Notamacropus eugenii: one gene and its partners. The main gene of each other region encodes a partner of the protein of the gene in region 4 in a complex. Links are inferred from orthologs where the notes say so. Each region holds a gene or a part of one and is shown on either strand. Other genes may lie near its edges.

Region 1 (7,379 bases), about 110 Mb from region 4:
CAGAGTTGTTTAAATTTACATTTCCCTTATAATTGGTGATTTGGAGCATTATTTTAAATGGCTGATAGCTTCTTTTTTATTTGCCTGTTCATATTAGTTGACATATCTTACAAATCAAACAATTACCAGACACTTGCAAATTATTTTATATTCTAAACTGGTGAGGACCTTGGCTACCATCTAACTATCAACTTTTTGCTAAGGCAGTTTTTAGTTTCTGTGGGTCTCCTTGTTATGGTACTTTCTGTATGAATTTCTCTGGTTTCTGTGTCTTCTGTCTGACCCAATTTTTCATCATTTTGTTATCTATTTGATACGAAGATTTTTTCCAGTTCACAGCTTATTCTAATGACAATTGCTTACACAAAAACTTTTTAATTTTTATGTATTCAAAATTACCTATTCTCTTAAAATTATATCTATTCCTTAAAATTTTCTTCCCTAAACTTGAAACATCTGTATATTATCCTCAATTTTCTGAAAATGATGTGATCTTTTATATTTAGATCATGCACTCAATTGTAGTAGATTATGGTATGCAGAGTAGGAAGTTGGTCTGAACCTTATTTCTGCTAAATTACTTTCTAGCTTTCTCAGCAACTCTTGTCACTTACTATGTGTCTGAGACTGTGCTAATTTAAAAATATTTCATTTGGTCCTCACAATAACCCTAGGAGGTAGGTGCTATTATTATTCCCATTTTACAGCTGAGGAAACTGAGGCAGAGGTTGTGTTCTTTTTTGTTTGTGCTCTTGGGCTTATTAAACATTAGACTATTATGTTTATTTCAGTCTTGAGTACTTCTTCATTTCCCACCAATCAGTTTCTTAACCATTGCTAAAAGTTTTGACAATTACTGCTTTATAACACTGTTCACAATCTGGTAACTTTAACTTCCCCTCATTCCTACCTTTTTTCATTATTTCCTTTGAGATTCTTGACCTTTTCTTTCCTCCAAGTAATTTTATTATTTTATCTAATTCTATAAAGTAACTACTTGGTAGTCTGATTACAGACTAAAGTCTGTAATCTTTGGTTATTATATAATCACAGCTCGGACTACACGATCTTTTTCTCCCGGAAGGTTCTTCCATTGATTTGTTATCCTCATTTTTTCTTGAAGACAGATTTGACCACCCCTAAGTCACTGAATGGATGGCTCCATGAACTGACTGGTTCAAATTCGTCAGGCTGTTTAGTACGAGTGGACTGACTGGCTATTAGTTTCTACCAATTTGAGCTGCAGCTAGACACTGGGGGAAAAAGCCCTGCGTGCTCACCTCAATGGGCAAATACACTCAATGTTTGTCTTTTATAAACGTTTTATTTTTTCCTTCTGACAGTCATTGGCATCACAGACAAACAAGCCAATTTATGCATCACTTAATCCCAGTATGTTCTGGGGATGATTAACTTCAAAGTACTCTTGAGCAGTAAAAGTCACAAGGTACTTGGTATAGTGTGGAAATTGTGGTTGAAGGGTACCCCGGGCTGTTGTTCTATCTTCCTAATGCAATGCACTCCCCCTCTGCTTAATTCATTACAAGAAAAGTTAGTTCGCCCAAGCAGGCCTTGGTAGCTAGGTGGCCAAGTGGAGGGAGTGCCCCAGCTACAGTTAGGAAGACCTGAGTTCAGATGAGGCCTCAGACACTTACTAGCTGTGTGACCCTCAGCAAGTCACTTAACCCTATTTCTTCAGCTTTCTCATCTGAAAATGAGCTGGAGAATGACAAACCACTCCAGTGTTCTTCCTAAGAAAACTCTAAAAAAGGAATCATAAAGAGTAAAAAATAAGTAAATGACAACAAAGCCTTCATAAACCAGCTGACTACCTTTCTCCAACCTTAGGGATAAGGCTAGAATATTCAAACTGCTTCACCATAACAAAACTCCTGTGGTTTCAGAAGACAATACAAAAATCTGATAACTATTTCAGTTTGCAATCTGATGAACTGAAAGACCCATCAGGTTTAATGAATGGCTCTCTCCAACTTGCTTTTAAAAAAAACCTATAGCAGAGAAATTCACCCTTTTTGATATTAAAATAATACTTTATCATTGCTGAATGAGGGGACCTTTTCCTCACAAATCACTGTATGGAATAGTTTTTAAATTTTAAAAGCACTAACTTTGGAGAATTTGATGACATGCTCTTCCTGGAATAAGAAGTAGGATAAGGCATTTGTGAGAACTAAGCAAGGTTTGAAAATTGCACGTACGTTCCACAGGAATTGTCACTGTAACATTAAGATTTATCACAATATAAATATTTACCTGCCACGAAGGGTGGAATTTTATAGCATTAAAAACTATGTGCATTTAAATAAATATTACAAGTGTCTCTCACCCCTGTATTCCTTCCTGGTGGCTCCTACTCTTCTTTCTACCTAGCCCTTCCAGCATTTTTGTCTCCCCAGTGTATTATTTGCTTAAGATACGCCTATGATATATTCAAGCAAAGAGGGAGAGTGCCCTTGGAAATGCACTCCGGGCAAGCCAAATATCGAGGAGTGGCCTTGACTATACCATCAACCCCGATTCTCACACCATTTCTCCATAGGGTGTTAACTCCACCTTAGTCACCGTCAGCACCTGCTGACAAAATTTAAATTAAAAAACACAAACAACCAGATGCCACAAAATGGAGAAAAATAGCTTTATCCAGAGACCATGAAAAACAGTAACTCACATTTCTAGAGTGCTTTGCGAACAACCCCCTTGGGGTGGGTAGCCCAATTCCCATTATCCATATTTTGGAGATGGGTCTAGACTTGGGATTTTAGCAGCACGGGAGGCTTCTGGCATGGAAACTCCCTCCATCAATGCCGACTGATACTTGTACAACCCAGAGGCTTAGTGCCCTGCCAAGATCACACAGCTGGGAAGAGTGAAAGCAGCAGCGTCTCCAGCAGGCCCCCATTATCCACGGCATCCAAAAGCCTCCCATCCCCATTCTGATGGAAATCAAGGCCCAAAGGGGGCTCTTTGAATCACAGATTTGGGGCAGGAGACCTCACAAGTCCGTTCGTTAGCCCAGGCCTCTCAATAAACTGAGGTTTGGCACACACAGGTCCAAGGGGCCCTTGGGGAGGTCCAGCATTCTCTCCTCTCCGATACCCAGTCGCACAAGTATGCAGTTTTGGGGTGAAGATGGAGCCTAGGGCTAAAGGCGAACCAAAAGGGAGGGCTATTTTTTCGCCCCTCACCCTCGAACTGACACATAAAAAGGCTCTCGGCCCACGACGCCCCAGCGGCCCTTGTAGCCCTAAAGCCTGGCCCCTCTCCTAACACTTTAACTCCTCCGCTTCCTTCCAGAGCAGCCCGCCTTCCCCCGGCCCGGGCAGAGACGGGGCGGGGGCCGGGCACGAGATCCGGCTCGGCGGAGGGGCCGCGAGGAGCGCGCTGCCCTTCGGCTTCGAGATCGATTCTGCTCGGCCCCCTCCGCGCCCCCAGCCAAGGGGCTTCCTCCGAGGAGGCCAGGCTCGGCCTGCCCTCCTCGGGGTCCCCCCTAGGCCGCGGGGCCGTTTGGGACCGGTCTGGGGAAACTGCGCCGAGAAGTGGCCGTTGAGGCCCGCGAGGACGCCGGAGCCTGCCGCTCCGGACCCTTTCGAACGCCCGTGGGGGGGAAGGGCGGCAGCGGCTCTTCCTCGCCGGAAGTGAAGTAGGAGTTTAGAGGAGGCCGGCGCTTCCGGCCGCGCAAAGGCTCTTGGGAGCAGCTTCTGGCAAACCCTTTTGCCCCGGCCTCAGGAGAAGCCGTCTCTCTCTCCGCTCCGGCTTCCGCGATCTGCATCCGGGCTAAGCGGCCACGGCGGCCGCCACTGCGGCTCCTCGTCTGCCCGACTTCGCTCCGTGTTCTCTTCCCGGCGATAGCGGCGGCCGCCACGGCCGACATGCTGTGAGTCGGCGGCGTCGGTGCCGGTGCCCGAAGAATGGTTTGGTGGCGCCGGCGGCGGCAGCAGGTGGTGGCGGCGGCGGAGGCGGCGGCTGCGGCTCGGGCTCTCTAGAGCCGAGCCCCCTGCCTGGGGTGTCAGCCCGGTACGGCGGCCAGGCCAGGCCCCCGGATCGCACCAGGGTTCGGGGGACGGCGCCCGCCCCTCTGAGGAGGCGACTCTGAGCTGCCCCACTTCCCGGAGCACGCCGGGCTCCTCTCTCTCCCGTGTTCACGATCCCAAGTCACCCCTTACCCACTCACACACTCAGCACCCTCTCCCGGGCTTGTGGGCTTGTGCCCCGGCCGCGCCGCCCCCAGAGGCGGCCGGGTCCTCGTGTGAGCAAGATTGTCTGGTCTCTGCGGGCCAGTGGTCCAGAACCAGGGACTTTTTAAACCCCGGGAGAGAGAGAAGGGAGGGCGAGACGAGACGAGACGATGGCCTCTTCGTCTGGCAACGATGATGATCTCACTATCCCCAGAGCTGCTATCAATAAGATGATCAAAGAGACTCTCCCCAATGTCCGAGTGGCCAACGATGCCCGGGAACTGGTGGTGAACTGCTGCACTGAATTCATCCACCTCGTCTCCTCCGAGGCCAACGAGATTTGCAACAAATCCGAAAAGAAGACCATCTCCCCGGAACACGTCATACAAGGTAAGCGGGGGGCGCTGGGGCCGTGGAAGGGAGCCGGCCCCGGCTGCTTTCCTTTGTGCCGCTCCGGAGAGGAAGCCCATGGTGTGGGGCACCCCCGAGCGCGTCGGCACAGACATGGTTAATGATTGTGCCCCGCGACACCTCCCGCGGAGATAGTGGGTCGTGAGGAGGGGGCTCTCGGAGGGGTACGGTGAATGAGGGGATTCAGCACCTGCCCCAGGGCAGTCACCTAGATCGTAGCCCGACTGGAAAAGGAACACGAGGTTTCTGGCTTCATTTTTACAGACAGTCTTTAGTTTGGAGGGTTGGGATGGGGAGCAAGTGAACACCCTTCGAAATTTTTTGTTAGGAGAGCAAAAATGTTTAGCCTAAGATGGGTGTTTGAAAGAAAACCAAAGGTACCGTCTCTTCTACTGTGTGGAGTTCCTTATTACATGAGTACTTCAAGAAATATAAAAAAGTTTTTTATTTCTGTTGTGGAGGCAGACATAACTTTTCCGAAGAGGATGTTACTTTGGCCCTCGTTGCCTCAGTTTTGCGTACCCACAGACAGGTTATGAACTGGAAAGAGAAAGTATTGCATGTGGCCAGTAGCTTATAACAAGGGTTTTTACGTTAAATTTTTTTCTGTTCACCCCCTTGAATCACTCTCTCGGAGTTACACAGACAGCCATTCATGAACGGCACTTTGAAACAACTTCAGCAGTTAGCAGTAGAAAATGTGCAGGGTGCTGTCAAGTGTCAAGAGATGGAGATATTCTGGAGACTTAGTACATCACCATGGTCTTGGGGCTGAGTGAGTACTGACTGCCCTCCTTAAGGAAGGCAGTATGACACTTTTTTCATTTTTCTTTTATCCACTTAGTATTTGAAAAGTATTTAAATTTGAAATGATGACCTTATTTCATAATATAAATTTCAACCTTGCTAATTTGTGTCTCCATTGCTTCTTAAAAATTCAGTTAATCAAAACTTTAAGCGGGCTTCTAGTTTGCCTTTTACCTTTTGAGTTTCACAGTTGCTATTTCTATATATATGGAAATAGTCTTATCACAGTGATGTGGAAAATACTTGCACTCTAGCATTGTACAGGTGTGGTATCATGCTAATAAATGTACCTGTTACTGCACTGGTGACATTTTACAGTCGATATTGACAAAATAATTAAATGATCCATTGTAGTTCCTTTTTGGTATGTTGAAAGTAGGTTTAAAATATACCATGACTTCTCAGTAAGTGAAGGGGGGGGACATGACCAAACTCCAGTAAACCAGGTTGACTGCTTTAATAGATTCATGGTGAAAGTGTATTCTTTTAAAAGCTTTTTTGATTTCATACTTAAGCCCAAAACTTGAAAGGTAAAGATATTCTTTTGTTTATATTGCTATTTTGTATTGTGCAACTACTGAAACATTTTTTCTTATACAACATTATCCCCCACAGAATACAATTTCTTTTTACAATTCATATAAAAATGGAAAGGTTCCTTTGTCAACATTGACTGCCATGTAAAAATACAAGAGACTTTAAAGGAATCTGCTTTAACATTTTTTTCACACCTTTGAAATGATGATCTTTCCAAAATCTAATAACGATTTGCAAATGAACTTCTTAATAGAGTTTAATCAATTTTAGAGGTTTTTTTTTTTTATGTTTTTTTTTTAATGTTAACACAATAGCTTGAAAGTGCTGTTGTAGCAAACAATATTAGTTCAACATTAGAATATGTTCAGTTCTGAATACTTATGGTTATACCTGTCACTAACCAGTGAATCCAGAATTAAGAACCTTAGTAAAAGTTATTTTACTAATTTATAAACAACAATAATAGGGGAAGGAGAAAAGGAATGAACATTTATATAGTGCTGGGTACTGTGTCCAGCACATAACATTTTTACAAATAATGTGATAATATTATGATAGTAGTTGAAAGTTATACTACTTTGAGAACAGTATCTCATTTGAGTCTCATAATGGCTATTTGAGGTAGACTATTTTATGTAAAAGAAAATTGAGACTTAGAGAGAAGTTTAGTAACTTGCAAGGGATTGTGTGCAAATTTTCTTGCTTTCAGTGCTGCTTACATGACATTATGGGAACTGCTATAATTAATTGTTCCTTTTTGGTATTGATTCTATTTATTGTAAAATCACATTTTATTATAAACACCATCTCTATTTCCCTTCCCCACTCCTAGAAATTGGAAATGATATAGACTATTTGGGAGGTCCTTCACTGCAGGTATTTTTTTAAAAATTGTTAAAAGATGTGTTCTTAGTGTTTTTGCAGAGAAAGAATGTCTCTACATTTTGGAAACTTAGGGTTGGCAAGTATGGGCAAATTGCAGATGAAAATATAGATGTGGATATGGTGCCTACTTTGTTGTAAGTATTTGTTTCAGTTAACACCATTTACACAGATGAGGAAGCTGCACAAGTCTTGTGGTTTTAGGTTGCCGAAGAATTTAGACTTTTAGTGGTGGGTTCTTTAACAAACTAGATTAGACTTTTGCCTCTGGACATTTTGCTTGCCACTTTCTTAAGAGTGGGAGCACTCTTAAGTGGGAATCCACTGTAAGGGTGGATTCAGCAAATCATCATTATTCAGTCATTAGAAATAAAAAGATAAAGAAGGAAGGATTACAATTAATCTGAATAGATCTGTAAAGTAGCTAATGTGAGAAAAAGTTTATGATATCAGCTGTATGCTTTATTTTGAAAAGTTGTTTTATATCAAGTTGAGAGAAAACACATTTAGTATTTTGTGTGAAGTCACAATTCATTACAAAAGGTT
Region 2 (7,076 bases), about 320 Mb from region 4:
AGCTACACAATAATTGCTTTAGGTAAATATCATATTTGTTTCCTGTAGTGCAAACAAGGTTCCCCACCTTTTAATTTGTGTAGTGAATACTAGGCAAAATGGGAGAAAATGAGAACACTTTAAATAGTGATAATTTACTTCTCTGAAGCTGCTGTGGCCTAAGGCTTATGATTGATTTCTCTTTGGTTCCTGCGTTTTCCATAGCTTTCAAATATATTAATTGGTCGCATCTTAGTTCCAGGGATTCCTTCGATTGCGTATTAAGCAGTACTCTAACAATTGCTTGGCAGAATGTCATGGGTGGTTTTATTTCTCTTCTGTCTTCAGACCAAGGTGCTTATTACAACATTGAGATAACCTCCTAATCTGATAAAATTTCATTTGAAATACATGAGGTTATACTTGCATATCAAGAAATTACATCCACTAATTTTCTTTTTGCCATCTCACTATACGTTAGCACCATCCTTCACTAGGATTTTCTTTTCATCTTTCTTGAAAGCTGTTACTTTTTGCCAATTTATTTATGGAAAATTAAAAACTGTTGAGCTAATCCTTTTTTAGGGGTTAACTGGTAAAAACAAGTTATCCGATTGGACACAAGTGCAGCCTCGCCGGGAGTCCGGAGCAGTGATGGCCGTTTTTATTGTCAGTTTGGAGTTCCGGGGTGCCTCAGCATTGAGAAAGATCACCTTGTATTTCGGTGTCTTTAAGGTTCTGTTGTAGCCCCTCTGTACTTGTGTTCTATTTCAATGTACTTGCAAAGTTTTCTTCAAATTCTAAAAAATGTAATGTACTTAATAAATTTTATCTTTTAACTTCTGTTTGCAGTAAGTTTTTCTTCACAGAAATATCTCTCAAATAAACCTCTGAGGCTCCTTACAAATGTGGATTTTGTGATAAGTCTGGAAGAGTGAAGATTAACACAAAGTAGCCCACTCTGTGCTATCTTACAGGAAAGCCTCTAACGCTAGACCCTGTGGGTGATGGGTTAGTTGTGAAATAAGCCTTTGGCCTTTTCCTAACCTGCGCTTTTAAAGTTAATATTCAGCTGCATCTTTTGTATCAATTTAGAATAAACTTGATTTTATCTGTCATCACACTGTTCAGAGCAGAGATATGAAAGCACAGGGAACAGTTCTGGGAAATTACATCATTTACTTACACTTAGAAAGTATTCTGCTGGAAGAAAAATTGATATTTTAAGCTTAAGAATTTATAGTGTTTTAAATATTCTGGGCTAAATAATGGGTTGTGGATGATCATGCCTTTCCACTCCCGTTATTTGACCAGTCAATGTTCTGATGTGTGTAATGGGAAACGAGGGAACTTCTTGGTTGGAACCTCCTCAGAGGCTATATTAACTAAGCCTGAATGCCGAAAGGGTTGTCTAAGCTGGAAAAGTTCTGAGCCCAGACATGGTGGCCATGAAACCATTTTAGAGCAGCCCACCCAAGCAGTAGTTCAACACCAGGAGGTTGGTTCTTTGGTTAATTAATGTAAAGACCATTAATAACAGCTAAAATGTCTTTAGGGCTTTACATGTTATTTCATTTGGTTTAGAGGCTGTAGCTTTCTTTAGTCACCCTATTCTTGGCCTTCACTGGGCATCAAAAGAGCTGCCACCCCCCCCAAACATCAAGTATTTTGGAAAGCAATTTGTCTAGCAGCAAATGGTTTTTAGGGTGATTTCTGCATTTTCCACCCCTCTTCCTGACTTAAAAGAATCAATAAATATGTATATTGATAAAACTAATACTTTTGTGCTTGACATTCTGAAAAATTAAAGAGAGACAACTGCCTTTTGCCAGTAAGAATCAACAGCGCCAAGTCATGTTGAATCTGGAGCTGAAGGGAGCTGGTCAAGGGGTCAACCAAGGTCAGCTAACCTGAGGCAGAAGCAGCCCCCTCAGTTTAAAGTATGTTGCCTGCACGGCAGCCCAGCCTGTTATTTTTGGACATAAAAGGTCTGATCTGACTGAGTACAGGAAAATTAAAATTCAGCAAAAGCTGAAGACCCTGATGTGTGCAAAGCATAGGCATTATTACTGAGCAAATAGGGATAAACGACGTCACTGAACCCCCGGCTTTCTCTGTGCCATTCTTACCCAGCCCGAGGGCTTGGAACCAAACCACAATGAGATCTTGAATCCCCAGCTCGGCCTTTCCATCTGGCTCTGGTCTACCAGACCTCACCATCCAGTCTGCACCTTCATCCTCCAGACTCCCAGGGCTGTCCCATTTGACCTGCTGTCCCCAGGGACTAGAGGCCTAGCCACCCATTTTTCAGCTGACATTTTTAGTGACTTTCCTAATTGAGAGCAGGATCTGGCTGTCTCTTTTCCATCCTTTCCTTCCTCATCTTTTTTCTCTTTCCCTTTCTTTTTCCTTTCTCTTTCTTCCCTAGCTAAGCCAACGTGTGTTGTATAACAATATATGCTTTTTCATTTATTCAGCTGTAGTATAATACAAGAGCACTAGATTTGGAGTCGTGACCTGGTTTGAGTCCCAGCTCCGGTACTTAATTTGACCATTTCTGCTCTAAGCCTCCAGTGCCTTGTGTGTCATACACAGCTGTAAATCCTGTGAAACCTTAGTATATAAACCACCTTCTCCCTGAGTCACTCCACGCCTCATTTTCTTGGGGGCGGGGGGGAACAGGAGGGAAAAGAGGCTATTTAACCAAATTAAGACCAGAGGGTTCCTTGGCAAAGGGAAGGGAAGAGCTGGGGTTGGATGGAATTAGGGATAACCAAATTGACTGGTGAGTCATCTTTTTCCACTGAGGGAACTAAAGTGTCCAGCCGCCTGGACCTTTGCATCAGCCATCCCGGGCCCCGGAAGGAGCCGGAGCAGGGCTGGAGACCCACAGGAGGCCCTCTAGGTCCTCGAGTCCTGTGGCCGAATCCAGACTTCCCGGAACAAATCCCCTTAACCAAAGGATGTGTCCTGTAAAGGTTGGCCTCCTCCGAAGGCCCCAGAAGGCCTCAAGGCTGCAGGTTCCCCCCTCTGGCTTGGAGGTTGAGGGTCCAAATCTGACCTGCAGGCTTTTCCAGCTCCTCGGGGCGCACCGCTGCCATTTCCGTCTGTCTTTAGAACAGCCTTTTCCTGTCTGCACTTTCCAAGACTGAACCAAACAGAATGCTCATCTCGTGGCATTCGGGGTGGGCAGCCTTCTGATGCCCGCTACGGGGGCCCGGGCGGGAGGGGCCTGTCACGGGCGGCTGCGAGGCTTCGCCTAAGAAGCGGCGGATGAAGGTGCCGGTGTCCGGCAGGACGAGGCCCGCGGCGGCTGCTTCCCGACCGAGACGCCGGGGCGGGCTCGGACGGGGGAAGGGGCCCCGAGCGCAGGGCGCGGCCGGGCCCTAGGGCAGGCGGAGGAGATGGGGCGAGGCCCCGGCTGTCCGGGCACGGCGGGGCCTCGCGGGCCTGGTCATCGGCACCGGGCGGCCGCGGAGGGCGCTTTGCCACGTTCTCGCCCTCCGGCGTGTACGGGCCCGTCTAGACCGGCCCAGCGGTTTTCACCGGTTTTCCTTCATTTCGGGACGCGTGCCATCAGCTCCCCCTTGGAATGGGGGGCTGGTGTTTCCCCGAGGGCTCGGGGGGCTGCGGGTCTGGGGGTGGCAGGGGGAGGATCCACCTCCTCCGAGGCGCCTGGCCCCGTCCCAAGAGGAAGATTCCCTCGTCTGTGTCCAGCCGGGGCGCCTTAGGGGAAGCGCCAGGCGCGGTGCCCGGTACACAGTAGGCGCTCAATAAAGGCTTCATCCATTGTACCGCGAGCTCCCAGAGGGCAGAGCCCTCGCCTTCCTTTGAGCCCCGCATACAGCAGGCGCTTAAAACACACACGCTGCGGTGGACTTCCGGCCTCCGAGCCCAAACGGAGCCCGGCCTGGGGCTGCAGCGCCCCCTGCCGGGCACCGCTAGCGCTCTCACAGCTCTGCTCTCCCCCACCCTCGCTCCCCACCCCCGCTCCTCGCGCCTGCTCCCGGCCCGGCCCCGCCCCCTGGGGGCCCGAGCGCCGCCGCCGACGCCGCCGCCGCCGAGCGCGCGCCCTTCCGCGCGCGTGACGTCCGGAGCGGGCTGGGCCGGGCCGGGCCGGGCCGAGCCGAGCCGCGCAGTTCGTTTCCCGTCGGGCGCCGCGCCGAGCTGGGAGCCTCGTGGCGGGGCGTGGTCTAAGTAGCCTCTCCGCCCTGCGTCTGCCGTGCTCCGGCCGCGGGGTTCTGGCCTCGCACTCATCCAAGGGTGAGTACCCTCTGAGGGGACAGTGCGAGGGAGTCCGGGGCCCGGGGGTCGCGAGGAGGCGGGGGGGAGAGGAGGGGTGCGTGTGCGGGGGTGGGGGGAAGGAAGGAGGGGAGCCCGGTGACGCGTGCTGTTGCTCTGGCTTCCGCGCGTGCGCGGGGCGGCGGCGCGTGCTCCTGCTCCTGGGCGCGCGCGCGCCCTCCCGCGGGAGCCATTGTCCGGGCGGAGGGGGAGGGCGGGCGTGTGCGCGTGCGCGTGCGCGGCGGCGCCCCTCCCCCTCCTCCGGGAGGCGGGGCTGGGGGCGGGCGGTCCCGGTGTTTGTGTGTCTCCGCGAGCGTGCCTGTGCTCGGCCCTGTGACCCCTCCCCTTCCCCCCCCCAGAAGGTAAGCTCCCCGAGGGCAGGCGCTCTTGGGATTTGTCTCGAGCTCCGCCGGCTCCCGCCGAGTCCCACCTTCCCCTTTACAGATGGGAAAACTGAGTCCCGAGGGGGTCCAAGGGCATAACGCTCCTCAGCGCGGGGTGCTCCCGTGGGTTTGCTCACCTTTGAGGGAGGCTCGAGTTCCAATCCCGCTCCGGCCTCGCCTGGTCCGTGACCGTGGGCAGGTGTCCCCCAGGCTGCCGGCCTCCGTTTCCCCCACTTTCCCGAGTGATGTGAGGGTTCCGTGGGACATATTTGTAGGCGCTTTAAGCGGCGGCTGTTATTGTTAGATCTCATCGAGGCTCCCCGGACCTGCGCGGGTGGACCGAGGGGGCCCCGAAGGCAAATCCCGCGCATTCCTGCCCGGGAGGCCCGGGCCTCAGTTTCCTCGGCTGTAAAATGGGGTCTCCCGTCTGCCCATCTCCCAGAGCCGGAGAGGGGAGGGCTCCCGAGAGGTGAGGTCTGCGTGGGCTTGGTGATGGGGGTGGGGGCTTCTGGGGGGGGCCTGGAGCTGGCTGCCCCCCCCCCCGCCCCGCCCCGCCCCGCCCCTCGTCACCCGTTGGCTCCGGGGCTGGGAAACCTGACACCTTTGTTCAGCGTGAGCGCTTCTGTCCTGGGCCTTTCTAAGGCGTTTGGAGCGTTATCCCGGAGTGCGAGGGCTCCTCCTGGAGCTGGGCCGGGCCGGGCCGGGCCGGGCTGGGCCGGGCTGGGCCGGGCTGGGCTGGGCTGGGCTGGGGACTCCCGGGAGAAAATCCCGTCCGCTTAGGTAGATGGCATCTTCTGCAGAGGTGAAGTGACTGGCCTAGCCCCCAGCGGAATGGGCCGGAGCCGAGCCTTCCAGGCCGGGCCAGCTTCGTCAGTGCGCTGTAAATCCTTGATTGATTCTGGCAAACACCCTAGACGTGGGATGTCGTAGCTAGGTTTCTGTACCTAAAACTGCCTGAGTGTTCACCATGGGTGGGCTGCCCAGGAGGGCATTCAGCCCCCTGGAATGGGGAAACTTACTTAAATGGGGAGATTTTATACGTGTGTTTATGAATGTGTATACGCGTCATTTATATGTTGCATTAAACGTACAGAATATTATGTATTAACGTGTCACAGATAATATACTGTACATTATTAGATGATCTACGTCTAATTTAAATAACAGTGCAAGAGATAAGTAACAGAAGAGTAGTGCCATGGTCGACAAATATCTATCTGAAAATTTTAGGTTTAAAACTTAGAGTCGATATATGTATAATATGCCCAGGACCTTAAGGAGACCTCTCTGTACCATCTAGTCATGCTGGAAATAATCTCTCCTCTGTCCTTTGATTTTGCACCTTGCCCTTTGGCTCTTTGCAGTCTGATGCCCTCCCCTGCCATTTCTTCTCACAGGTCTCACTTCTCCCTAGTCACCAACTGTCCTCAGTCTTGTTTTTTCACCTTCCTGAAATATTGGCTCCTGTTGGTCACCTTGTCCATTCTCTTCTGGATGCCCTGCCTGTTGACTTCAGAGACTCTGGATGCCGCCCGGGGCTCTTCTGGCAGCTGTTTCTTCTCTCCTGTGGCCACCTTTTCCCCAGCAGTACTGTCCTTGGCCTTTTTCTTAGTCTAAACACTGTTCCTTGGCAATCTCATTTACTCCTATGACTTATAACTCTTACCCTGATGCACACTGCACGGTCAGGCCTGATGGATCCTCCAGGTCCCAGCCTCCTAACTTTAGTTGCCCTGGGGGACATCTCCACTGTGATCTGGTCCTGCCTGAAACTGAACTTATCTCATGCTCTGTACAATGGGCTCCCCAAGGACACCACCACTCGCAGGCTCCCATGTTGGAAATCTTGGGTGTCATTTTTGTTTTGATTTTTGAAGGTTTTCTTAAAAACCATTAACATATAATGAAGCAGAATTTGGGAGCCTCTCAGTGTTGACTTTATACTCTTACAATCACGTGTAGTGTTCTTCTGGTCCTACAAAGGGGCAGCATGTCCTTGTCTGTTCTCTGGGATCTTCATTTGATTTTCAGTTACAGGGAGTTTGATTTCTTTTTAGTGACATTGCTGTAGACATACTGTATCTTGTTCTTTTGATTCTGTTCATATAGCTTGATGTCAGTTCCCACAGATCTTCCCAAGCTTCTTTGAATTCCTTATTGGGGCAGTGGAGATAGTGCTGAGCTGCCATCAGGAAGATTTCAGTTCAAATCTTGCCTCAGACTCTTACTAACTGTGAGACCCTGGGTCAACCTCTGTTTGCCTCAGTTTCCTCAATTGTAAAATGGATAAAATAATAGCAGTCTCACAGGATCTATAATAAAAATCCTCACAGGGTTGTTCTGAACTTCAAATAAGATATTGAGCACTTAACACAATTCCTGGCACATATAAGTGCTCAATAAATACTTGTTATTTTCCACCTCTCCTTTTTC
Region 3 (7,201 bases), on a different chromosome or scaffold from region 4:
CTGTGAGACTATGTAATTTTTAAGAAATCTCATTCTTGGAACAACCAGCTTTGGTCATTTTATCAACCATTATGGAACCTTGAAAAACCTCTTACCTCTCCCCTTCCCTCCCTCCAATTTTCCCTTTTTCCAGTTCTGAAACAATCAAATCAATGCTGCCGTTGATACTGAAAAAGGTGTATCCATGAAGGTTCCATTTACTATCCGAATGCCCTTCTAAATTACAAAACCCTGTTCCCCTCCAGTCATTCAGTTCCCAGTTTATGTTGTCACCTCATTAAAAAGAAAGCTCCCTGAAAGCAAAGAGTGTTTTAGCAACCCTTTTCATATTCCCAAGGCTAAGCACAATGCTTGGCACAGTTAGGTGCTTAATAAAACATTGTAAAAATTCATTCATTTATTAAAGTGGAATACAGAAGTCAAAAGGGGAAGGAAAGTCAACGCTTTAAGTCTCCAAGGAAAAATTCTGAACATTGGCCCCAACCCGTCCGGGGACAAAGTCTAAACCAGGTCTCCCTACCCTGAGTGAAATGCCAAATATCTTCCATTAGCCTGTGACTCTTTATTATACGCCTTAGAAAAACTAGAAGGAACGCTTGATCACTGAGGACCTTTACTTAATCTGGTGCCTACTAAGGTGGCAAGCTTTGGGCATTGCTATAAAAAATTACCATTTTAAACCTTTATACAATTTCCATGCCGCAAAACTCTTATTTAGAAAAGGTCCGTCTAGTTTTAGGAGCCCATTTTCCCTAAGTTTCTCCCTGGAGTAGTTTTAGACTTTTTTTAGGTGGAAGAAAGCGGAAGGAGGGGGGGTATGGAAAACGAAAGATGAGATGAAGGGTGCTATGGAGCTGCAATCACGTGGCCAGAGGGAATCAGAACACTCCACTCTAAATCGAGACAGCGAGAAAGCAAAGCGTGATCGATTTCTCAGCTCACTATTGCTTGCGCCTGGAATGCGAGGTCGGAGGGGGGACTTTCGGCGTTCGAGGGATTAAGCCTGGAGGAGGCCCGGGGACGCGCACGCCGGAAGGGGCTCGCCACCGTCGTGCACGCTCGTCGCCGCAGCCCAGCTCCCCGCCTTCTGGTCGTCCGGTGCTTCGCTCCTGTGGGTAACGGCTGCTTTCGCCGCCTCTCCGCGGCCAGCTGCCCGGGAGGGATGTCGAGGAGCTCCAAGGTGGTGCTGGGCCTCTCTGTGGTGCTCACGGTGGGCACGGTCGCCGGGGTGCATCTTCGGCAGAAGCAGGACCGAGAGGTCAGGACCACGTGATATAGCCCCACTTTCCCCTCCCCCCACTCCCCACCTCCTCCCCTCCTGGGAGGGGCGGAGTTTCCTTGGACGTGCTCCGCACGCGGCCCGCGGGCACTAGGCGACTGCGGCTGCGCGCTCCGAGGCCCCGCCTCCCGGCCCGACCTGGCTCGGGCCCGCCACTTTCACTTCCTCTTCCTTTTCGCGTGGCCTTCGCGTTGCTGCAGCCCTTTTCGTCTGCGCTCTCACCGGTCGAAAGCCCAGCTGCCTTTAGTGGGGTTTTGCCGCCGTGATCGTGACAGTGGTAATGCTGCTGTGTTCTCCGTTTACCCACCTACAAAATGGGGCGAGTCTTAGTGTTAATACTCCGGGGGTTTGGTGTGGAGAATGGGTCGGTAAAGCCCCAAACGCTGTACAAACGTGAGTCCTTTCACACGTGTTTGTCTCTTTTGCCCTTCTTAGGCTATAAGCTCCGTAAACCCAGGGTACCCTTGTGGATAGAGCTCTGGACCTGGAATCAGGAAGACCCGAATTCCAATTCGGTCTCTCACACTTACTAGCCTTGCGGGTCGCTTCACCTCGGTCCGCCCCCGTCTTTATCTGTAAAATGGGGTAATAATAGCACCTATCTCTCGGGGTGTCTTGTGAGATGCTTATGAATGAGATGAGTAGTTGTAGAGTGTTCTGTAAACCTTGTGAAGCGTTAACGTTAATGCCAGCTGCTACAATTAATTGTAACAAAGTACATAATGTGTTCCATAACTGTTACCAATTTATTGTTACTATGTTGTTTTAGCTCATTGGAGCTGTGACCAGGCATGCTAGACAGGAAGATCTGAGTTGGAATCTTGTTTCACACACTTATAACATTGAGCAAGTCACTTAAATTCAGTTAGCCTCAGTTTCCTCATCTGTAAAATGGAGATAATAATAGCTTCTACCTCACCAGGTTGTGAGGATCAAATAAGATATAAAATATGTAAAGATATTTACAAACTTTATTGTGCCATTTGGGCTAGCTATTTTATCACTTGCCCCAGGGTTACACAGCTAGTAAGCATCTGAAGCCAGATGGGCACTCCAGTCTTCCTGACTCCAGACCTGGCGCTCTATCCATTGTGCTACCTACCTGCACTCCATGCAAATTTATCAAGCTTAAATTTGTTTCCTTTCAACTTGCATTCTTTGCTTCTCACCAAAAAAGAACAAATCTAATCCCTCTTCCTTGTGAACAGTCCTTACAGTACTTGAAAACTGGTTTCATTTTCCCCTGGGGAGCCTATTTTTTAGACTCCTAGTTCCTTCTGCAAACACTGGAGTGGCATAACCTCAAGACTGTTTAATCTTGTAAAATGTGATGGGCCTAAAGCTTCTAGGACAAAGATAGTCTCTTTTATTTTCCTATAGCTAGTGCTAAGCAATCCAATCTTAAAAGTTTACTAAGCACCTAATTTATAAGGAACTGTACTAATCACTGAAAATACAAAGGCAATGGAAACCAAGCTTTGCCTTAAAGAAGTTAATGTTCTACTGGGGGATTTAGCATTTAAATAGGTATGTGCTAGATAACTTGTGACATCAAGTAATTTTTCCATACATTCTTGATGAATAAATGACTGAAGGAATGCTTACTAACAACCTATTGTCCTTTACTAATCCTCCACACTGCTAGTATCCTTCCCAAATTATTCTTATTTTAACTATTCTGTATTTGTTTGCTTTCTCTATACTTACATTGTATATTTATGTACATATGATATAAACGTGTTTTATACTTATATTTACTGCTTCTAGTACATTACACAAGTATGGGTGTATATACATCTGTAATGATGCATACACACATCATTGTATCCTCTGTTAGAATGTAAATTTTTTGAGAGTAGGCATACATTCTTTGTATCCCTTATGCCTAGCATACTGCTTGGCAAGTCATAGGTGCTGAATAAATGCTTGTTTGATTACATATGAGCAGTTTTCAAGTACTGAAGGTTGTAATTTTTTTTCTTCATTTGATCAACAAAATGATTCCCAGTGATGAATTTTATGGAGTAGTCCAGTACTCTTTGTAAATGTAAGTCACCTTTTGTGGGGAGGTTATTTTTAGTATTCTTTATTTCTTAGATTATTTTTACACCTTCCCTTTTTTCAACAATTTCACCTGAAGTAGATTTTATTATACTTGATACTTGTAACAAATAAAAATTCTTTTTTCCCAGTTATTTATTAATGAGTGAGGATAATTTATGATAACTGAATTCTTGGTACCCAGTTACAGTAATTAAAAGTTGTAGTTAAAGCAGTGTGTTTCCTAATTGTGAAATCTTACTCTGGTTTACACTGGTTTTAAAAAAAAAGCCTAAGTAGCATTATTCTTTACTTTCAGTTCGTTCTTAAGCCTTCAGAAGTTTTCTGGGAATATTATGAAAATGTTTTGTTAAAATATGTGTTAAAATACAAGATTTAAATGGTGTTTATTAAATAATCTGTATTATATTGCATATTTGTAGTTAGGTAAATTAGAACAAACACTACTTGGGTTTGTACTTGGAAGTCTGAAGTGCATCTTGGTGACATTTTTTTTCTTGTATTACTAGTGGGTGGAAATCTGGTGTTCAAGGTGTTACTAAAGTTCCTTCCTTGTGTTTTAGAGGCTTCGAGACGGAGTGTTCAGAGACATAGAGAGGCAAAATCGGAAAAAAGAAAATGTTCATCTTTTGGAAGAACAGATTATTTTGACTAAGCATCTTGAAGCAGAAAGAGAGAAGATGTTATTGGCAAAAGGTTCTCAAAAAACATGAGTTGTGAAGTGAACGAAATATTAATGAAACAGGCTTAGATTGTTTTGGAATTTTTTTTGTTTAGCTATGTCGTGTCATAAGTTAAGTGATTGCTTCCACCCATGTAATTTTTTTTGCCCTTTAAACATTCAAAGAAAAAGACAGTGGGTTATAGCACTTAAGTTTTAAAATTGCTTTAAAAATTCCTGCTATTTAAGTGATTTTAATTGTGATCATTCACTTTTTAAAGACAGCCTCTTTTTATCTGTTATGAACAATATTAACTGGGTAACCATACCCCAGTGTTGTCATTGAAAAAAATAATCTTCCTGGCAAGAAAGGATGGATAACAATGTCCACATTGGTGGGCTGATGAGTCGTCATGATGATGATGCGACGAGAACATCCACTTCAGAAGGTCTGGAGGAAGGTGAAGTGGAAGGGGAAACACTCCTGATTGTTGAATCTGAGGATCAAGGCTCAGTGGATTTATCTCATGATCAGAGTGGAGATTCACTGAATAGTGATGAAGGGGATGTGTCATGGATGGAAGAGCAGCTATCTTATTTCTGTGATAAATGCCAAAAGTGGATATCAGCCAGTAAGGACCTTTTATTTTTTTCTTTCTTTCATTTTCTTTCCTAAAGCTTAGTGGTTTTTTTTTAAAGTAACAATAATTGAAAACTGATTTTATTGACTAAACAGAACTTGAAATTTTCAAGGAGGCTTTCATAGTAATATAAATTCAAGTAATATCTTCTTGTTACTTTTCCATGTTGTTAAAGTAGTTGTTATTGAATCTTTTGGTAACATCACAAATCAAACATCATACCTTACTAAGTAGTTAGCCATATAATCTAATACGGAGATAGGGATTCTTCTGTTGGACTTTAGTATAGTATTGTGTGTTAAATGGATAAAAATTATTCCATTGTAGTGTAATTTAGCTTAAATCAAAATCAATGTCTGACAAATTCAGCAGGGTATATTCTTTGTAGGTCCAGTTTGAGAAGGGGAGTTGTCCTGTGTTTTGCCAAAAGTTATGCAGTGGTTTATCATCTGCTGGAATATTAAAGCAATTTATTCCTGTAGAATCAGATAGAATGATATTTATTAAAAATGGATCTTACCCTTTTTTATGCAAATAACTTCAAACATTTTGGTCCTGAAAACTTGACTTAAATTGCCATTTTTTTCGCCTTTTATCTCTTTCCCGCTAAGTCTGTTGAAGTGTTAGATTAGAATTGTAAAGGTATATAGACGTTTTGAAGAGATGACCACTGGAGTGATAGATTGTTGAAAGTTATATAGAAGTTTTTAGGATAAGACTACTAGAGTGACAGATCATTGAAGGGAGAAGGAGGTTTGTCTCCTTGTCACCCTTTTTTTCGCTTACCACAATTTTCTCCTTGCATAAAATAATGAAAGTTTCAAGGTGAAAGGTTGGCATCATAGAGAACCCTTCTACCACTGGAAGAGTTTAGATGGGCAGCTGTTGTCCTTCAGCTTTGAAGAAGACCAAAATGACATCACCATAATAAAGTGAAATTTCAGTGTGTCCAGCTGTGACTGATCAGACCAATACAATCTCGGAATGTTTTATCACAGGTTGGGCACAGATAGTCCATGTGAATATTTGGGGTAGATATCCCAGATTTGCGCATCTTGCCTTTACTTTGTGCTTTCTCAATTCTGCTTTTGCTCAAAAAGCACAGCACCCTTTATGATGTAAGAGTTTAGATATGATCAAAGATAGGTAGAAAAAATTGAACTGATAAAATATGATAACCTTTTTGCCTGTTATGTTGAAAAACTTAAATAATTGTGTTTGCCTTTTACTTTGTTTTAGATCAGCTGAGGGAACAGCTCAGTTATCTCAAAGGTGATAACTTTTTTAGATTTACTTGCTCAGATTGTTCAGAGGATGGTAAAGAACAATTTGAAAGGCTGAGATTGACATGGCAGCAAGTAAGTAAAAATCTATTATAGAAGGTTGACAATAGTATCTCATGAAAGTTTGGTTCATATTAAAAGAAAACAACAATTTAAATTCTCTCTCCCTATGTGTATGTGTGTGTATATATATATATATATATATATATATATATATATATATATATATATATATATATATATATATATATATATATATATATATATATATATATGCAATACTTCAGCCTTAAAGATCTAGTTCATCCCTACCTTTTAGTGATGTAGACACTCTAGAAAATGGTTAAGTGGCTTGCCTAAGGTATTATAGGCAACAGAAAGAAGCATAAATAATCTGCCCGTCAAAGCTAGACTTATACCTTTTCTGGAGGTTGAAATAGCAACTAACTGTTTTAACAACAGCACCTCACCTCTCCTTTTGTTCTAGCTTTTGCTGATGTGATAGCACAGAGGAGAGGCAAAGTGGTATAGTAGAAAAAATACCGCTTTGAATTTGGAGAAGACCCTGAGCTGAAACTATTAGATTGTGTACTCTGGGGGCATTTTGGCCCACATAACTAGCTGAAAGTTATAATGGAAATTTTTTTTCCCTCCTTTCTATTAAAGTCTCAGCAGCATACCTTTGGTATCTGATTTATTTGGGTAGTTGCAGTAACTCCTAACTGCAAAAAAACTCTTGTTTTTTGAAGTGGTTCAAGACATCTATTTTCTTTTGATTGTTCTTTCCTGTTACACACTTGGATTTGAGCCACTGGCTTGCAGCATATGTGAAATGATGATGAAGTTTATCCATTCTCTGAGTGTGCTGCTTTGCCCTTCCTGCAGCTCTCAGCTCCTGTTCTAGGAACTGAGTTAAGTAACCTCCAGATGCCCTCCAGACTTGCAGTGTTCTACTGTAGATGGTAGGTGTGTGGTGGTCTTACCGGTAGGAAGGGATGGTGTCAGCAGGGGTGGAACCTTCTCTGTTTAAGGTGCCATCTTGCCAAGACGAATGACTGGTGTCTGATCACATGCTGCAGCCTTTAAACTGTTTCTTTAATAATGCCCATACATCTGAGTTATGAGTCTTTTAAGAACTTCTCTGGTCACTGTTCTCCTTACATATGGGTGAGAAACCGTTTTCAGACATTTGTGCCATCATCAGGCTTATGCTTTGTCTATAGATGCCATTAACCTGTATAGGATGTAAATAGATAAGTAGTAGGTAGAAAATTTG
Region 4 (7,476 bases):
ATCCTCTGGGTTCAAATCTGACCTACCAAATGGAAGGTGTACGTCCATCCTGGAGCAGCCCAAAACAAATAAGTAACACAAATAGCTAGCTTTCCCTCCTTTCAGGAGTATCACCATCACCATTAGTATCTCATTATCTTTGGTACACCTATGTTAGCCTCCCCTGGCTGATAGTGCCTACTGAGCTCACAGCAATCACCTAGGTCCCGCAATGCTTCCATGTAGTTTATGTCTCCAATGTCTTTTTTCATTTGCCATTGTGAAGTAGCACATAATCCCAGAGATGCCTGGAGTAGGGGCAAATAAGAAGGAGAGGGGGAATGAGGATATTCTCAAATTGTTTAAAATCTAGCTGAGAGGATAAATGCTGCCTTCTCTTTGTCTTCATCTGCCCCAGGGAACTGATGGTACTGTAATAGTAAGCACCCCAACATACACAGGGGGACCTGCTATCACAGGTTCTTAGATCAGCATTTATAAAAGGAAAGGCAACTTTTGAGGGGTTAAAAATCACTTTAATCAAGCACATGTATCATTCAGTTAGTTCAGGGGAAAAGTCAGCACCCTGAACTTCAGAGAAAATACAGAGAAATCAAAGATAACAGACATGGCTTCCTCTGTCTGTCCATAATCAATACACACATTACTATTCTACAAACAGGTCCAACTGTCTGACCATAGTTATGTGTGTGTTCGTCCTTCATTGCCAAAGAAAACCATAGTTACCAGAGAAGGAAGCACCAACATCTGGGTTTTCCAAGCCAGGGGGCTTCTTAGTGGCTTCCGAGAGTCCTCCTCTGGCCAAACAAACACTTCCAGTAGGTAAGCCCCAAAGTAAAAGCTCACCCTCGGAGCAGTTATACACTTCTCAGAACCAGAGGGCATGACCCTCTGACCCAGTGCCTCAACAGAAAAAACAAAAGGTACTTGGGACCCTCCTACAAATCAGCTTAAGTTTCCCTCAATGGGCAGACCTATCAATGTGTGAGGAAGATATTCTTTAATCACATTTTTCAATCAGAAGCACTTTTAGCAAAACAAAAACAGCAAAAGATTCTACTGCTTGGCCTTACAGGTAACTACTCTGTAAGTCCAAGCACTGACTGCCTAGCAAACAATCCAAAGGAGAAGGTGGCACAATGGTCAGAATGCTGGACCTAGAGTCAGGGAGACCCAAGTTCAAATCTGACCTTAGTGACTAGTTGTGTGATCCTGAGCAAGTCACTTAATCTTTGCTTGCCTCAGTTTCCTCAACTGTGCAATGGGGATAACAGCAGCACTTATCTCCAAGGGTGGTTGTGATGATCAAATGAGATATTTATAAAGCTCTTAGCAAACTGCCTGGCCCACAGTAGGTGTGCTACTATGCTTCTTTTCCTTCCTTTCTCTTGGCATGGCATACTGGTCCACTTTAATTTTCTTGTTCAATGACCAGTACTTTACATTTATTCGTATTTTCCTATTCTTCTCCTGTACTGCTTTAGGTAAAGCATATGGACTGCTAGACTTTCTAATGGTAACACTGCACAACAACTGCTGTCCCTTTCCTTCCCTCCCCAACAACTAATTCTTCCTTGAATAGCTAAACACATTACAGACACTATTTCCCAGAATTTCCTGCTATTTCACAGCCAGTGAGTGTCAAATGTCTGAGGTGACATTTGAACTCAGGTCCTCCTGACTCCTGCACTGGTGCTCTATCCACTGCACCACCTAGCTGCCCCAGTTAGTATAGTACTTGAACAGGTAAAAGCACTTGATGAATGTTTCTTGACAGATTGCTCTACAAGACTGATATCCTTTTCTGACTTCCTCCATGATGTTTTTTATGCTACTTCCTGTATACAAGTCATCTTTGGTAATTAACATAAGCCATCTTAATCATCAGGTCGGCTACATCTTTCTTCATTTTCCTTTGAGGGGTCTATCAGTTTGATTTTTTCTGTGATTTCTGTGTTCCAGAATTGACTGCCATATGGCACTGAGAGGAGAATATATATATTTTTTAATTAATTAATTTATTTAATTTTTAACATTCATTTTCACAAAATTTTGGGTTACAAATTTTCTCCCCTTTTGTCCCCTCCCCCCCCAAACCCAAGCATTCTAATTGCCCCTGTGACCAATCTACTCTTTCTTCTATCATCCCTCTCTGCCCTTGTCTCCATCTTCTCTTTTGTCCTGTAGGGCCAGATAGCTTTCTTTACCCCTTTACCTGTATTTCTTATTTCCTAGTGGTAAGAACATTACAGTTGATCCTAACACTTTGAGTTCCAACTTCTTTACCTCCCTCCCTCTCCACCCCTTCCCTTTGGAAGGCAAGCAATTCAATATAGGCCAAATCTGTGTAGTTTTGCAAATGATTTCCATACTAGTTGTGTTGTATAGGACTAACTATATTTCCCTCCATCCTATCCTGTCCCCCATTACTTCTATTCTCTTTTGATCCTATCCCTCCCCATGAGTGTCGACCTCGAATTGCATTCTTCTCCCCATGCCCTCCCTTCTATCATCCCCCCCACCCTGCTTGTCCCCTTGTCCCCCACTTTCCTGTATTGTGAGATAGGTTTTCCTACCAAAATGAGTGTGCATTTTATTCTTTCCTTTAGTGGAATGTGATGAGAGTAGACTTCATGTTTTTCTCTCACCTCTCCTCTTTATCCCTCCACTAATGAGTCTTTTGCTTGTGAGAGGAGAATATTGTTAAAAAAGAATGGATCAGCTCTTAGTAAACATCTAATTAAGGAAGAACTACTATACACGGAGAGCCATAAACTTGACTCAGTATGTATGTACAATAGAAAAAAAAAATTTTTTAAGGGAGTGAATAAATTAGTGACATAAAGAGCTAGTCTGAATGCCATAGCGTCAAGAATCCTAAATTTTAGTCAAGAAGACTTGGGTTCTAATCCTGTATCTGACATCTGTGACCTGGGACGTTCTCCTCTTTCAGCTTCAATTCCCTTATTTATAAAATGATTTCCTTGAGTCAGGTGATGCCTTTCCAGCTCTAAATTCTCTGAACTATAAATAACTAATTAAAATTGGGAGAGCCCTATCTTTAGGGATTCCAAGGAGGGCAATTACTTTCTCCCACATCCCAACCCTTTTAAGGCTTCTATTAGTAATCAGAACACTGGTAACCCCCAATTGTTGATCATTTTAAGGACCAACTATTTCCAATGGGAAAGATGATATATTTATTATCCTTGGTTTAGAGACGAAACCACCGAGGTCCGGAGAGGGTAAATAAATGACCCAGGACTACAGAAAGTGCGCTTTGGAAGGGACCTAGGAGCCCGCCCAGGTGCGCCCAAGGTCACAAAGCTGTCAGCCAGCAGGACGGAAGCGCTTAGCACAGCTCCTAGCACCCACGAGGCGCTTAACCAACGGAATCCAAGCACACCTGGAGCTCCCCTCAAGGACTTCTAGTTTAGACCTCTGGATTGGACTTTCCTTGGTCTCCCCAGCGTCTCTCTTCCTCTGGAAATTGCGTGAATACATTTTGTACTGCCCTGAGCCCAGGATAACGTAACCTCCTTTCGGAACGGGGCTGCTCCAAACCAAAGTAACCCACGCGTTAAGGGCCTCCTGAGCGCAGGGCGCTGCCCCAAGCACCGGCAACACAAAGAGACAGTCCCGCCGCTCAAGGGGCGGCTTCACCCCAAGGGGAGAGACCACCCGCAAGCGAGGAGGACCAGACGAACCGGAAATAGCCAAGGGAAGGGCGATGAAGATGGATTTAGAAGATTCCACAGAAAGTCTTAACGTAAGATTAGAGAGGGCGGGGAAGGGCCCTGGCGGATGGCAGGACTTTGGCTGAGACTTTAAGAAAGTCAGGGAAGCCACAAGACGGAGACAAGAAAGAGCACACCTGGCACGAGAGACAAGACGTGAATAATAGCCCGGAGTGTGGAGGTGGAATATCCTGTCATCATAGCCTTAGAGCCTGGCACAGCGCTTGCCCGACTCACAGGAGGTGCTTAGTAAATGCGTAGGGGCTGCACGTGGCAAGCGATTTCTGCCCGATCTGTAGGGTGAGCCTCATTAAAAGCACCTGCACACCGGGTAGTCACTCCAGCAGCGCGCCCAAGGCCGCGGAAGTGCGCATGCTCGGCGGAGCAGCGCGGGGAGGGGCCATAGGCGCGCGCGCATTCCTCGCCTGCACACGCCTGCGTGCGCGCGAACGGCTCTGGACTTCCTGGCCCTGGAGGAGGGGGAAGCGGCGAGGTGAGGTGGCCGGCCGCGGGGCCGAGGGGCAGGGGGTGGGGCGCGGGGGCCCGGAGGCGGGGGCAGGAGGGGAGGGAGCTGGCGTTCCCAGGCGAGCCGGCGCGCGGGGGCCCGGGCCGAGGCTGGCGTCAAGGCCGACGTAGAGGAGTGATCGGGGAGGCACGCGTGGTCACGCTGCCGCCGCGCCGGCGGGAGTGAAGCGGAGGGGGGCGGGGCAGATGGGCGCGAGCTAGCGCGTGAGGCCTGGGGGAACGGCGCACGTGACCCCGCTGACCTCCGCCGGCAGCCCCTCCCCTCTGCAGCCTTGCCCCTGCGGCTCCCCCCCGCGGCCTCAGCTTTTCCATCTGCGGAGTGGGGGCGGCCATTCTGCCTGGACCCCGTAGCAGAGCGAGGGAAAAACACCTGTACTGCTCCAATTCTGTGGTCTTTTAAGTTTATGGTAATAACTGTACGATGCGTTATGGTTTGTAAAAATGTTTTACCAGTGATTTCTCATTGGATACAGCAACGCCGGGAGGTGATGAGGAAACTGAGGCAAACAGGTTAAGTGACTTGTCCAGGGTCTCATAGCTAGGACATGTTGGAGGCAGGTTGGCGCTCTGGCTGCTGTGCTACCTGGCTGCTACAGTAGCAATTACTAACCCTTTATTAGAGGGGGTAGATTTCAGGCACCAGGAACCAGATCTTCCCGAGTTCAAATCCAGCCTCAGACACTTAGGAGTTGTGTGACCCTAGGCGAGTCACTTAACCACTGTCTGCCTCAGTTTCCTCATCTGTAAAATGAGCAGGAGAAGGAAATGGTAAACCACTTCACTATCTTTGCCAAGAAAACCCCAAGCAAGGTCATGGAAAGTGTGATGCAACCAAAAGAAATGTGGATTTTAAGGTTTGTGAAGTACTTTTCAGTTTTACGTATATTGTACAACAATATAGCCCTTCTGGGTATGTGGTGCACATGAGGAAACTGAGGCTTGGGAATGGTAAGTGAATTGTCCATGGTCACCCAGCTAGCATGTGTCTTGGGTAGGATATGAACTCATTTCTGGAATTCCAAGTCTGGTGCTCTAGTCACACTTCTCAGGAATCCGGTTGAATTTGATTAAATGTTTCCTTGAACCTGACCATTTTCCTGCCTTTTCATGGCCTCAAGTAGGGCAGAGGTGTCAAACATGCTGCCTGCTAGACTCCTGAATTGCCCGAACCAGATAGTTAACAAAAGTACAGTAAAATATAGATGTTATCATGTACTGTTTAGTGGACCTCTCACTTTTAATTTGACTCCCACTGACAATGGTGGAAAGAGCACTGAATTTGATATTAGAGGACTAGGGTTTGAATCTCAGTTCTGCTCACTGTCTATGACCTTTCCCACTTTTGGAGGGGCTTGATCTTGTGATTTGTGGCTTGAGGAGTTGGAGTTAGAGGATGCCCTCTAAAGTCCCTTCCAGCTGAATCCTGTGCTCTCCTGTGGAGTTGTTACGTCATGTCTCTGGTCCTTCATGAGTAAGAGTCCCTCTGATATCTGGCCACCTGGGGTGATGGAGAGCTGCTGCCTCTCTGATTTCTCTGCTGCAGTAGTTAACACATCTTACTCTGCTCATCCCTTGATCTGAGGTCCTTTACCTTTCTTGTGTTCTGGAATCCTTTTGCAGAATTTGGTGAAGTCTTCTCAGAATCATGTTTTTAAATGCACAAAATAAGTTACATAGGATTACAAAGGAAACCAATGATATTGGAATACAATTTATCAATTAAAAAATAAAGCTCCAGACTCCAGGTTAAGAACTCTGGATATAGAAGGAGCAGAATCCAAACCAGATAGTTCTCCATTTAGTTGTTGGGTTGGTTGATAATCAGTCAATCAGTTTGTGCACATATTTACTTTTGAAGACCCACCCCTCCTGGAAATCGATTAAATCAGTTCAATCAATATACGTAATTACATGCCTGTGCCACAGATGCATGTATTACATGCTTCCTATGTTAGGAGGTGAAGATATAAGGCTAAAAAACAAACAAACAAAAATTTTTGCCCTCAAGGATATTACATTCTATTGTAGACATTTACACAGATAAGTAAATACTCTTAATTGGGGGTGGGACAAGGAGCAGTGACCAATGAAATAAGGAGAATGAGGAAAGGTTTCATGTAGACGGGTACCCTGAGCTGAATCTTGAAGGAAGCACAAGATCTAAGTGTGGGAGGTAGGAAATAAATACATTCCAAGAGAAAGGGTTACAGCCTAGGTAAAGACTCAGAGGTGGGAGATGATTAGTACATGGCTAGTCCTATAAAGAGGATATAAGCTAGTCTGGCTGGAATAGAGGGTGTATGAAGGAGTACAATGTGATCAAAATATGAAAGAGCAGACTGGGACCCATGTTGTTCGATTCTGGAGAGAAGTTTGCATCTCTCTTCTCCTTTTCTCTGATGGATTGCTCCCCAATTAGTTCTTTTTCGGTGGAATTATATGGGTGTTGTCTGTATTTACTGGTGAATAATTCCCTTCCACTGAGAAAACATCAGGGTCAACCAAATGATTCTTGGAGTCTAAAAGCCAGTCCACTGTCAGTGGAAGGTAATGTCTGGCTTTTGCTTCCATTTTCACCTTCAAAGAACCAAGGTGATAACAGCTCACACTTACCTAGCATTTTACAGAATGAGTTTTTCTCAGAACAACCCAGTGAGTCTAGTGAAAACAATTATTACTCCCATTGATAGGTGCTGAAACTGAGGCTGAGAGAGATGTCAATCAAATCAACTAACATTTATTAGGGCAGTTAGGCAATGCAGTAGATAAAACATTGGCCTTGGAATCAGGAAGACTATCCTCATGGGTTTAAATCTGGCCTCAGATACCTGTGTGACCCTAGGCAAGTTACTTAATCCTGTTTGCTTCAGGTTCCTCATCTATAAAATGAGCTAGAAAAGGAAATGGCAAACCATTTCCAGTATCTGTGCCAAGAAAACCTCAAAAGGGGTCACAAAGAGTCAGAAATGACTAAACAACATTTATTAAGCACCTGCTCTATGTCAGGTACTAGGTGCTCAGAATACAAAACCAAAAATCATATAGTTCTTATACTAAAGGATTTGTATTCTATCAGGGAGACAATGTGACCAGATATAAGTACACGTAAAATAAATACAGTGACTTGCTAATATTCATTGGCAGAACTGGAACTGGAGCCTAGGTCTTCTGGTTCTTTAAGTCCTGTGCTCATTCCATTTCCCTCCAGCACTTT

The links.
Region 1: TADA2A (region 4) and DR1 share a complex: the UniProt entries of both Homo sapiens proteins name them as parts of the ADA2A-containing complex. The link is inferred for Notamacropus eugenii from reciprocal best matches to the Homo sapiens genes TADA2A and DR1.
Region 2: TADA2A (region 4) and YEATS2 share a complex: the UniProt entries of both Homo sapiens proteins name them as parts of the ADA2A-containing complex. The link is inferred for Notamacropus eugenii from reciprocal best matches to the Homo sapiens genes TADA2A and YEATS2.
Region 3: TADA2A (region 4) and KAT14 share a complex: the UniProt entries of both Homo sapiens proteins name them as parts of the ADA2A-containing complex. The link is inferred for Notamacropus eugenii from reciprocal best matches to the Homo sapiens genes TADA2A and KAT14.

What each region holds. Positions count from the first base shown.
Region 1 is NC_092873.1:268,273,122-268,280,500, forward strand, and holds the start of DR1 (protein Dr1), read left to right. Parts: upstream 1-4,366; coding exon 4,367-4,586; intron 4,587-7,379. UniProt on the Homo sapiens protein: The association of the DR1/DRAP1 heterodimer with TBP results in a functional repression of both activated and basal transcription of class II genes.
Region 2 is NC_092873.1:54,145,517-54,152,592, reverse strand, and holds the start of YEATS2 (YEATS domain-containing protein 2), read left to right. Parts: upstream 1-4,064; 5' UTR 4,065-4,242; intron 4,243-4,519; exon of another isoform or gene 4,520-4,622; intron 4,623-4,780; exon of another isoform or gene 4,781-5,173; intron 5,174-5,310; exon of another isoform or gene 5,311-5,523; intron 5,524-7,076. UniProt on the Homo sapiens protein: Chromatin reader component of the ATAC complex, a complex with histone acetyltransferase activity on histones H3 and H4. YEATS2 specifically recognizes and binds histone H3 crotonylated at 'Lys-27' (H3K27cr).
Region 3 is NC_092872.1:593,124,988-593,132,188, forward strand, and holds the start of KAT14 (cysteine-rich protein 2-binding protein), read left to right. Parts: upstream 1-4,195; 5' UTR 4,196-4,374; coding exon 4,375-4,633; intron 4,634-5,881; coding exon 5,882-6,000; intron 6,001-6,752; exon of another isoform or gene 6,753-6,995; intron 6,996-7,201. Other genes in the region: protein PET117 homolog, mitochondrial, read left to right, coding at 1,163-1,258, 3,904-4,053. UniProt on the Homo sapiens protein: Component of the ATAC complex, a complex with histone acetyltransferase activity on histones H3 and H4. May function as a scaffold for the ATAC complex to promote ATAC complex stability. Has also weak histone acetyltransferase activity toward histone H4.
Region 4 is NC_092873.1:376,158,972-376,166,447, forward strand, and holds the start of TADA2A (transcriptional adapter 2-alpha), read left to right. Parts: upstream 1-4,461; 5' UTR 4,462-4,666; coding exon 4,667-4,669; intron 4,670-7,476. UniProt on the Homo sapiens protein: Component of the ATAC complex, a complex with histone acetyltransferase activity on histones H3 and H4. Required for the function of some acidic activation domains, which activate transcription from a distant site. Binds double-stranded DNA.